Drosophila melanogaster: one gene and its partner. The protein of the gene in region 1 purifies or fractionates together with the protein of each later gene. This does not show direct contact. Each region holds a gene or a part of one and is shown on either strand. Other genes may lie near its edges.

Region 1 (5,277 bases):
ATATATACAAATTGTTAGAAGCATTAATTAGTGGAATTAAAAAGAACGTATAACAAAATTGCATCTTAAACTTTTGTTTTGAGTGTAAGTAGTTTTGTTTTTATTTACACAGCACAATTCGTTTATGACTACGCTTTTGTCTTCAAATTAGCGAAATTGGAATCAATTAAGTTAAGCTTTCAATTTGCGTGTCTGCGAAATAGGTAACAAAGGGTATTTAAAGTACGACTATTTGCTAAAGGAAATCAGCTTGCTTGTTTGAAGATAATTAGATGAGGTTACACAAACGCTCATACAGCTGTATATTTTATAATCATCTGTTTTTTATTTAGGTTCTAATACAGGTGGTTTCTCCAAGGAAAATGTTGTGAGAGGCTGTGTTCGTTTTTGTACAGATGTCCATTTCAAGTAACTAAATACAGACATAGGTACATAGGAATTAGCGTATTTTCGATTAACTTCGAGATTAACAGTTTCTCTTGAATGTAATTGTAATTTTGGTAGGGTTTATGCTAATGTTGTGCTCACAATCGTATTTTACATTTGTTTTATATTTTGTTTTTTTCCCCATTCGATTTGCATTCATATTTTGCATAGCAGAGTGTAATTAATGCCGTTGAATTGATTACCACTGCAACTGAAGGGTCTGAAGTGCCCAATCTAAACGAAAATGTGACCGAGCGAAGTAATTACCGGGCCCCATTACATAAAGCCAATGTGGGGATATGTACATACATATGTACATATATAAAGATCTGGCTGGACTCAATGTTTACTGCGCGCTGAATTGTATCGCACTAGATAGGTATATTTTTATCGACAACAAACAAAAGAGAAATGCTCTACGATTTTCAATACATTGCATAACCAGCTTTAGGGGAATTTCCTTGCAGCGCTTAGTGGTAAAATCACACTCACACGTTATATTGTGCATTCGAAACTTGTGGATTGTAGACATTGTGCAGTACTTCAATTTACAAGATCATCACAAATTATTTTTAGTTATTGCTTTGCAGCCTTCTTTCCCGCAGTTTTATCGAGCGTTGTGGAGCAAGCGTTGCTCTAATTTTTCCCCGACTGGCGCAGGGGTATAATTTCAACGGCGAGAGAGAGATAGAGAGAGAGAGAGGAAAAGAGAGATAGAGAGTGGGGGAACAACAAGAAAAAAAAAATAGAAAAATGAGAGACCCTGGTGCTCAAGACAACACAAAACAGCTGACCGACCGACAAACTGCGTATGAGTTTGTGTGCCTGAACTATTGGCATTTTCTCACTTCCTCTTAATTTTGTTGCTGTATTATTATTATTTTTTTTTATGTTCACCCATGCACTTCACTTGCCAAAATTTGAAGCATAACGCAACATAATCATATGAGGACACATAAACACAGTCAGCTGTTCGTAAGATGTTGGGACATTTTACCTCACAACAGCAAACAACAAATAAAAAAAAAAAAAACAATATTAGGCACATGATTCTCGTTCGTTTATCTGAGCACACACGAAAATTGAAATGACAAATACACTGCCATGCCGGAATGTCTGTCTATACAATACACATTTGAGTGTGTACAGTACACAATATAATTTTTTTTTTTTTTTTTTTGAATACTATTTTTTCCCTGTATGCATGCAAGTAGATACAATAAGCTTGCGACGAACACCGCGACAAAATGCCAAATGATGGTCTTCTGACGCGATAGTATTTGTCTGGCACAAGTTCGTTTTTTGGTTTGGTCGAAAATTATTTCATTTCATTCGTTCTTTGGCAGAAATGCAAAAGCAGCTGCAGTCGGTGGTCACTATGCTCTCAAACTTGCAACAATTGCTATCGAATCATCGATGTTGTTTCAGATGAATAAATAAATAAAAAAAAAACAAAAGCTTGCGCAAATGAAATCGCACACATGTACTATTATAAAATTCGTCTTTTGTTGTGCAACACAACTATAGAAGACTGTGCAGAAAGTACAGTGGAACCTGTCTAGCACGAACATTTTCAGAGGTGTCAAAGTTATATATAGTGGGATGAAATTTTCATAACACTGATAACATGAGGTATCGACATGTACTCTGAATTATTTATTGAACAGAATTGTGAAATGGTCAAGTTAAAGAATGCGTACTGTATTTGGAGCTTGCTAACGCAAATATCAGCTGCTAGCTATAGCTTTTAAGCACGAATTACGACAACAAATTGGGATATGCTAGATTAAGATAGATCGATTTGTATTTACATCAAACTTCTTAACAAATCAATATCCATATATAGTATTTAATAATCTGAGCTCAAGCCAACTAAAGTACCCTACTGTAAAAGCTTTGGGTATTCAAATCTTGTGCACCCTTCGGTTTGCTCTTTCATCTTTTGAGCTACGAAAGTTTGAATGCATAGGAAAGGGAGTTATAGTTCGTTCCCTGGAGTCGAGCTCTCTCTCTACCCAAATTTATTGAAGAACAGCTGTCCCTTTCGGCGCTGAAAAGCCCAGTGCTCTAGTGAGCGCCATAACTAACGACAACAAAACAAGAAGTATGAAAACAGCCGAGCGAAAGTGAGAGAAGCGATGCTCCATCTCCTTTTTTGTTTTCTTTTTTTTTCGTTTCTTTTTTTTTTTATATCACAATCATTGTTATTGTATTTTCTGTGGGGGCTAGATAGATGTATGTGTAGTGGGGGATAGTTCGCTGCTTTCTCAATTTTTGCACAGCACACACAAGTACACAAATATATTGCAATATTTTTTTCGAACAAAATAGATAAAAAATTGTAATTCAACATTTATTTGTTTTTTTTTTTTAACTACCGGTGCAGTTTGCTGATGGTTATTTCTTGTTTCCGATTTACTGTAGTTTTTGGTTGTTTCCTCCTGGTGGTCGTTGTATTAAACGAAGGATTTAGCGAGTTATGTATAAAATACCCCAGTTGTACCAACTAGTATGCTATTGTTTTACTTTTGCGTGGGTATATGTGCTCGGATGTCTATTTATTATTTTCTTGTTTAATGTGGTTTGGTTTTATTGGGATTTTGATGGTTTTTGGTTTTGTATTTCTTGTTGTATTCTATTTTCCTATTTTTTGTTGTTGTTGTGAAATGTCTCTGCCCGTTACTTAATTGTAGCACACGCCACTTAGCAAGGGCCGAGCGAAGCGTCCGTAGTTCTTGAAATCGGTTTAGTAACTGAGACTGAATTGACGCGCGAACGGGCCTCAGTGAACCAACAACAAACAAGTGCACACGCACACTTCGGCACCAGCACCCCCACCTTCACCACCGTGTTGGTCTTATTCGGCACTACGCACGAATCACTCACGAAGCTAAATGTTCTAAACTCGGTTCGGCTTCCCACTCTCTCTCTTCCTCTCTCTTTCCCTCTCCCTATCTCTCTCTCTCTGTCTGGTACTTGCACCCACGGTTGTCAATTTAGCTTTTTTCCCGTCTATGGTGGATTGCTTAAAATAAAATAAATATTTAAGCGGGCACCGGTAATTCTAACTGTCCAAGAGCCCAACACCAAACAGACGGAAATATAATTGAAAATATTAAACAAGAAATCATAGTTTTGTTGTTTTTAATCAATTTTTGTTTTGATAAATTGTTTTGACTTTTTTATAGACCAGTTTTTTAAATTTATATTTACTGCAAGGGTATATGAGATTCGACTGGCAAAAAAAAAAATTGTTCTTGAAAAAAATTGGCAGCACTGCTTGCACTCATCATATTTTTGTGTGGGTGCTTTTCCCTGGACAAAATTATATCCGAAAAGGTGGTAATATGACTAAAATTTGTTACCTTCAATTTAGCAACCGATGTAAATATATACATCCCATATTGGTTTGGGAAAAGTGTCGACATAAACATGATATACTTTAGTTAAAAGCAAGTTAGGATTGAAATATTTAAAATATCAGTTTAAAGCTTTTGAAAACTTTTACTTTCTTGCTTTGTTGTAGTTTTATTTTAGTCATTTTAAATATAGTTTATTTATAAATCATAGTCTAACTTAAATTTGCAATATCAATATGATATTCTGAAAAAGTTATGTTATATATTAATAGTAACTAAACCTCATAAGATCATCGTGTGAAATCATAATGCCTACTTTGTGGAAATCCTAGCTAAGTAAATATTAGTTATTTTGATAGTTCTCAATATGGATTTGCGATTGTTAAGGTATTTAAACTTCACCTTGCTTTTACATCGCTCGGATGCCCTGAATAATTTTGCGCGTGACTGGACGATTGGAGGAGTGTGTGGGCGTGTGTTGGTTGTGCTCGTAGTAAAATCGAGCCTAGAAGGGCTTGCGCAATGAGTGCATATCCTTCCGTGGCACAGTTTTAGTACAGCCCCCCCCCTCCTCCTCCTCTTCCACCACTCTGGCCGACAAAACGAGTCGCTCTCTTTGGGCTTTGGCTCGGACCCCTCCCCCCCTTTTCCCTTTTCCGAAAACTGGGACAAGAAATGAAAGTGCATGAGCACGTAACATATGCGTACATACACCCAGAGGTAATATGTATATGTACATTAGAGTGGACCTAGCTCGAACAAAAAGGTGAAAGGTCACACCTGTGTATGTACATATGTATGTGCATGTATATTCGTCGTGAATAGTAAGAAATATTGTGATACTCTTACTTTCCCTTTTTTCAAATATTTAAATCAAGAATGGTGAAAACCTTTTCAATGTTTGGTAGATAAAGAAGTACTAAATGAAATTGAAGGATTTTTATTTATTTCATCGCAAAACATTTGGGGTACACATTTATACATTTATTAATATATACGCTTAGATTTTGAACGAACATGCATACAAAAATATGGATTTCCTTTACATTTTCGATTTTTATCAGTTTTATAGGATTTCTTTTTTTTAAATTGGCTTTCCAGGAATACCTAATATGGTACAATAATTTATTTTTCTAGACTAAAAAAAAATATTAGTATAGGTATCACAAATATATATATTTATGTATATATCAATACATAATTTGTAGCGAAATTTAATGTTTCAAAAGGATTATTGATAAACTCGTTGAAAGGAAATTGATTTTGCTTTATTGACGGACTTGGATGGGTCTGTCTCTTAGGTTGAGCTGGAACTTTGTAGAAGAAATAACACCCTTCAATGGGAGGAACCAATGTTATACAAAGACATCGCTCACATTTAACTTAAGTGGGATTTACATTTAATTTTGATTTTAATCCTCATAAGTCCTCATAAGCTTTTTAGTATTAATTCCATTTTAGTTAAATGTGGGCGATATGTACGATATTTCCA
Region 2 (5,175 bases), on another chromosome or scaffold:
GAATGTATAGCAATACGGCAAGGGAAGGGGGGGGGGGGTATAGACACTGCTTACACGACGAAATTGACATTTTGCATTTAGTTATTCAGTTGGGTCTATATTTTGATCTTTTTTTTCTACCATTTTGCTGCCGCCGCTGGCAGCCACAATAAAATGAGAAGAAAAATTGCATAATAACCCCTTTGAAATCGTCGGATTATCCTTAAATATTTGTGTAAACATTGTAACAAATGCGCAGCTCCATTGTCAGCCAACTCGGGCCATGGATGCAGCACAGAACCAACCTCCATCCTTCATCCTCCACCTCTGTTTCCATCTCCGCCTCTTTGAAAGCCATCCCCAATCCATTGACGTAGTCAAGGCGGCTTTTCCTCAACCCCTGTGCGTCGTCTGTCGTCAAATGCCTGAATGATGAGCAATAGACGGGTCCGGGTCTCCTGTCACAGTCGACAATGAGCAACTTTTTCCAAAGGCGGAAGACGTGGCAAGGATACAAACGGGCCGCGTAGCCAACAATGGGACCAAGTGCTCCGCCGAGGAGGGAAAGCGTCTTAAAAAACCTGTCACACATATTGACAGTCGCTTTAGGATCGCTTAAATCAAGTCTGGGGTCGGCGGGGGCATGAGCCGAGTCGTCGGGTTGGTTAGCATGTGCGTATCAGCATAAAGGATATTGTAATCATTACATGTAATTCACATTTGGGGGTGAAGGGCAATTGCCGCAACTGACATAATTTTGATGTGTATTGATATGAAGCGGATTGTCAGGCAGGATAATTAATTTTCCAGAGGATAAAGAAAAACTCAGGAAGGGACATGTAATATTTTGAGCCATAAGAGGCTAATAGCTGTCTGCTTGTACTGTCACTGGAGTTTTAAGATTATTAGACAAACTTTTACGAATCTTTAAAGACATAAAAATCTGGATACTAATGGCAGTTGTAAAGCGTGCCCAACAACTTTAGCTCTGTTTTTTATCCGCTATTCCAATGCTTCCATTTGCTCTCTGCGCTTTTTCTGTACCGCTCAGTGTCCTAATCGAATCATCTCATTTAAGTGAATTAAAAAACATATAAAGGCGAGCAAAATTAAATCACGCAACTATTTTGCGCAACAAAGAGTACAATTAAAAGCCCACCCGGCGGCAAAAAGGACGAAAAGGAGGCGCAGTGGTGTCTGGCGCAGAAAACGCCGCAAGTTTAATCGAATTTAACTACTCATAATGTGCAACAGACGTTGGCGGATGGGGCTGTTTCAGTGGGTGGTGGGGTGGTTTGAAAAACTCTCAGAAGTGTAGGCGTAAAGTTGGGCACTAATCTTATTAGGATCATCCCGGGCCAGCCACTCACGAATCCCAATTGGGAAGATGAACTGAAAAAGCCAGCTGATGTAGAGCTCTCTCACTCGCTCGGTCGTTCTCTCTCTCCCTCTTTCTCTCTAGCCGACTTTATTCGTACGTGAGCGTTTCAATTACCGCTCTGGAGTGCGAATGGGTTTTATTATTATTTACATACCTGTTGCAGCAGGGGCATTGTTTTGAATAAAAATTCCAATTTCCACACTTGTTCACGTTGCGCTCCTTGTTCGTTCGTGCTCGTTCGCGTTCGTTCGTGTTCGGCAGGAGCAGCATCCGCCAACTGACAAAGCGGCAAAACAGATGTCACCACTTCCGCCTCTCGTACCTTCCCTTTCCCACTCCCACTGCCGGCGGAGAGCCCGTTCGCGCACCGTCTCTCTCGCCCTCTCTCTTTCACTCCTGCGCAGGCCTTTCGGTTGGAGTTCGCTGCGGTTCGAGTCCAAGTTCGTGTTGGATCTGGTTGGAGTTTGAATTGGATGCCGAGCCTCGGGCAAGGAATCTGGTTTTTGTTGTTGTTTATTGGAGCTCCACAGGATAACGCGACTGAGCGAGCGAGAGGGGCGAAGGCGAACCAAGACAGCTGGCAGATGTGGCCGTATCAGCAGCAAATAGTCATCGATTCATTCCGCCTCGTCAACGATGCAAATTTCCAAAGGCCTGAAATATCATAAGCATGAATTAATTATAAGAGTACTCTTCTTTGTAGTTTCCAAATCAGTGGAGTTTAAAGAAAACACACGCGTACGCACTTGAGCGTTAAATGCCGTAAATCGATCAAGGCGTATCCCTCTCTCTCCTACTCTCTATGACACTGTCCCGGCTAACTGTAATTAACTGTAATCCAGGGTCGTTTACTTTAAAGGGGGCTTTTATGGCCGCCAATAACACAAACTATGCATTATCCTTTCGGGTGGTAATCCTTTCGGAAGCTGTGTGTTGAGCGAACCTATTATTAGAGCCATAAATCAGCATGAAATGAGCAGTGGCAGCGAAGTTGGAGTTGTAAAATGGAGATGGAGATGGGGCCAAGCCCTGTCTCGCCCTTTCTCTACTCTCTCCATCTCACTCTCGCGCTCTGTGCGTAGAATAATGGGTAGTAAGAATAAGTGTGCACACAGAAAGAAAAATTGCTATACTTTCATGAATTGCACTGTTATTCATATTTCTTTTCAATTGATACCGGACAATCCAAAAATCTATTATTGTGCACACCTTACATTTTATTAACGAATTAAGACCCCGCGCAATTCCAGCTTCATTTCCTCTGTGTGGCCAAGGCGGCGATTGATTGCCGTAGTTTTTGGAGAGATGACGTGAGCCAAAGGCAACAGAAAAAAAAACAGGACCAACGGCACATAATAGTAGTGTGTAGTTGTAAAGTTGTAAAATACGCACGTCGAGAATGAGAGAACGAAAAATGAGCCGCTGCCCTGTTTTTCTTCACCTTCTTGTTACCAACTAATTTGAACTGCACCATTTTTCGGTCAACAATTTCTAGTGCCGGCTAACACTGATACACCAATACATACCCAGGACTCGCAAAAACACGCGGATGGCGCATAAATTCGTGTGAATTTTATTTTAATTCCGCACTTGCAATCGCATCCCGTTTCTTTTGTCGTCCACCAAGCACATTTTTACACACACTCGCACACACGCCGCCAGGAACCGTTACTTCTGCTTTGCACGCCCTTCGCCGTTTTCCGTTTCTCCTTCCGATGCTGTTTCGCCAAACTACTCACTCACGGACGCATTTTTTACTATTAAACTATTTTGATTGTTGAAAATCTTTGCGACTGTGGTATGGCACCACATTAACTCGAATTTAAAATTGAGCCTTAAATTTGAGCGGACCCTGCCGCGGCAATACAAATTAATAGAACAAACTAAATTATCATCCCGTGATATCTTTTATTTTGGAATTTTAGTCGGGATTTTTTGATATTATGGCCACGCCACGGCGTGCAACGCTGCTTAAATAACCTTTTTCGCCTGGCTCTGTCGAACCAACCGCATGCAACCGCTCTCTTGAACTTAAAAGCGCTCATTTGTTTGAAACAACTTGTGTTCGACGATTCCTCGACAAAAAAAGAAACAGTCATTAAAATTCGCACAAATGGCTGAACTATTTAAATAATTTATTTAATTTGTATTTTCATTTAAAGTTTTGGTTTTAAAATAATTTTTATATTTCCATTAATTTTATTACTTATTGGTAAAGCATTAACAGCAACCAAATTTTTTTCACTGGCGTAAACAACTGTTTCCAGTGAATGGCAACAATACAGCTGTTTTGCACAGAGTTGCCACTATGTTCAAATGAGTTATTACCAGCGGCGGAAAACTTGTATCAAATTTATAACAAAAATACAATTCTGCGTTAATAAAAATGCCCGGGGACACGGAAAACACAAGCACTGACACCACCAATGAACACATCGACCTGGCCTTGTACCGGCAGCTGGTCAAACAATTCATAGACATGGTAAGACAAAAAAACCAAAAGCCGGCAAGCAGAGCCTGAGTGCAAATTCAATTGCATTTTTAGCGTCGCTACTCCACAGCGCTTTTTTGGGCAGAAAAGGTGGCCGTGCTTGGTGGCCTGGAACCCAGGGATATTTACTACCAGGCGCAGTGCATGTACCTACTGGGGGAATACCATCGTGCTGCTCACACAATACAGCATCACAAGCTAGAGAAGAATTCACTGCCATGTTTTAACCTACTACTGGAAAGTCTCTATGCGGCCAAGGAGTTTACCGAGGCGGCCAATGTCATCCAGAATGTGGAGGTGGAAGTCATGACCACATCGCTGATCAACCAGCCCGTTGATGCAAGCAGTGGCTGCTATCTGGAAAGCAACAGTGTCTTTGGTGGCGAGGAGAATCACAGAAATGAACTGCTCTCATCCATTTACCTAATGAAGGGCAAAGTTTATGAGGCCCTGGACAATCGCGGCATGGCAATGGACTTCTATGTTCAGGCCCTTCACAAATCCATATACTGCTTTGAGGCCCTGGAGGCGCTGGTTCAACACGAAATGCTGATGGCTTGGGAAGGTGAGCATGCACCTACTTTCTGAATACAGTATAATCTCAACTTAATCATTGCAGAGTTTGAGCTAATGCATCATTTACCGCTGGCACAACAATCCAGCGAAGCTGATGCCAAGTTTATACTAAAACTTTATGAATCTCGCCTGAAGAAGTACTACGAGTTGATTTCCGCACGCAATGCTGAGGAGATGTCCCCCATTGTTAATCCTGACATACTCCAGTTTATCAAGGAATTTACAGCTCGAGTGCAGCAGAGCGGGTCGTCAGACACACAAATGCCCAAGGTGAGCGCCGTCAAGGTGCCGCTTACGCCCAGCCAGTTCATGTCGCCCGCACAGAAGTCAGTTCTCCTGATATTTCTAATATTTAGCGCATTCTTATTGAAGTTGTATCTTTAAGAGTCCTGGAAGATCTAAAGGCGCCCACATTTTCCCTACAAACTAGTCTCTCAAAGGCTTCTTCCCTCATTGATGCTTCTCACCGGTCCATGTTTGACTCATCCAGTAGGAGGCGATCGCGTGATCATGACACGGACACATTAATTCCTATCGCTGAATGTCTTGATCGGGTACAACGTAGTACTGACCTAATGGCCGCTGAGGCGGAGAAGTGTTTCTACGACTGCGACTACAAACAGTGCCTGAAAATACTCAATGAGTAAGTGAAGAACGGCGTAAAAGACTTATATTGATCAAAAATGTATTTGGTTTTGCTTATCATATATAGACTCCTTAAGGTGGATCCCTTTCATAACACTGCACT

What was found.
Region 2: the proteins of Tob (region 1) and orb purify together in Drosophila melanogaster (affinity purification with western blotting, with the first as the bait; one study listed by BioGRID). This does not show direct contact.

What each region holds. Positions count from the first base shown.
Region 1 is NC_004354.4:16,088,343-16,093,619, forward strand, and holds the start of Tob (transducer of ERBB2), read right to left. Parts: upstream 3,154-5,277; 5' UTR 2,805-3,153; intron 1,026-2,804; exon of another isoform or gene 919-1,025; intron 1-918.
Region 2 is NT_033777.3:23,277,545-23,282,719, forward strand, and holds the start of orb (oo18 RNA-binding protein), read right to left. Parts: upstream 3,313-5,175; 5' UTR 2,887-3,312; intron 2,015-2,886; 5' UTR 1,533-2,014; coding exon 1,515-1,532; intron 1-1,514. Other genes in the region: Cdc16 (cell division cycle 16), read left to right, coding at 3,747-3,842, 3,906-4,416, 4,471-4,753, 4,813-5,070, 5,140-5,175.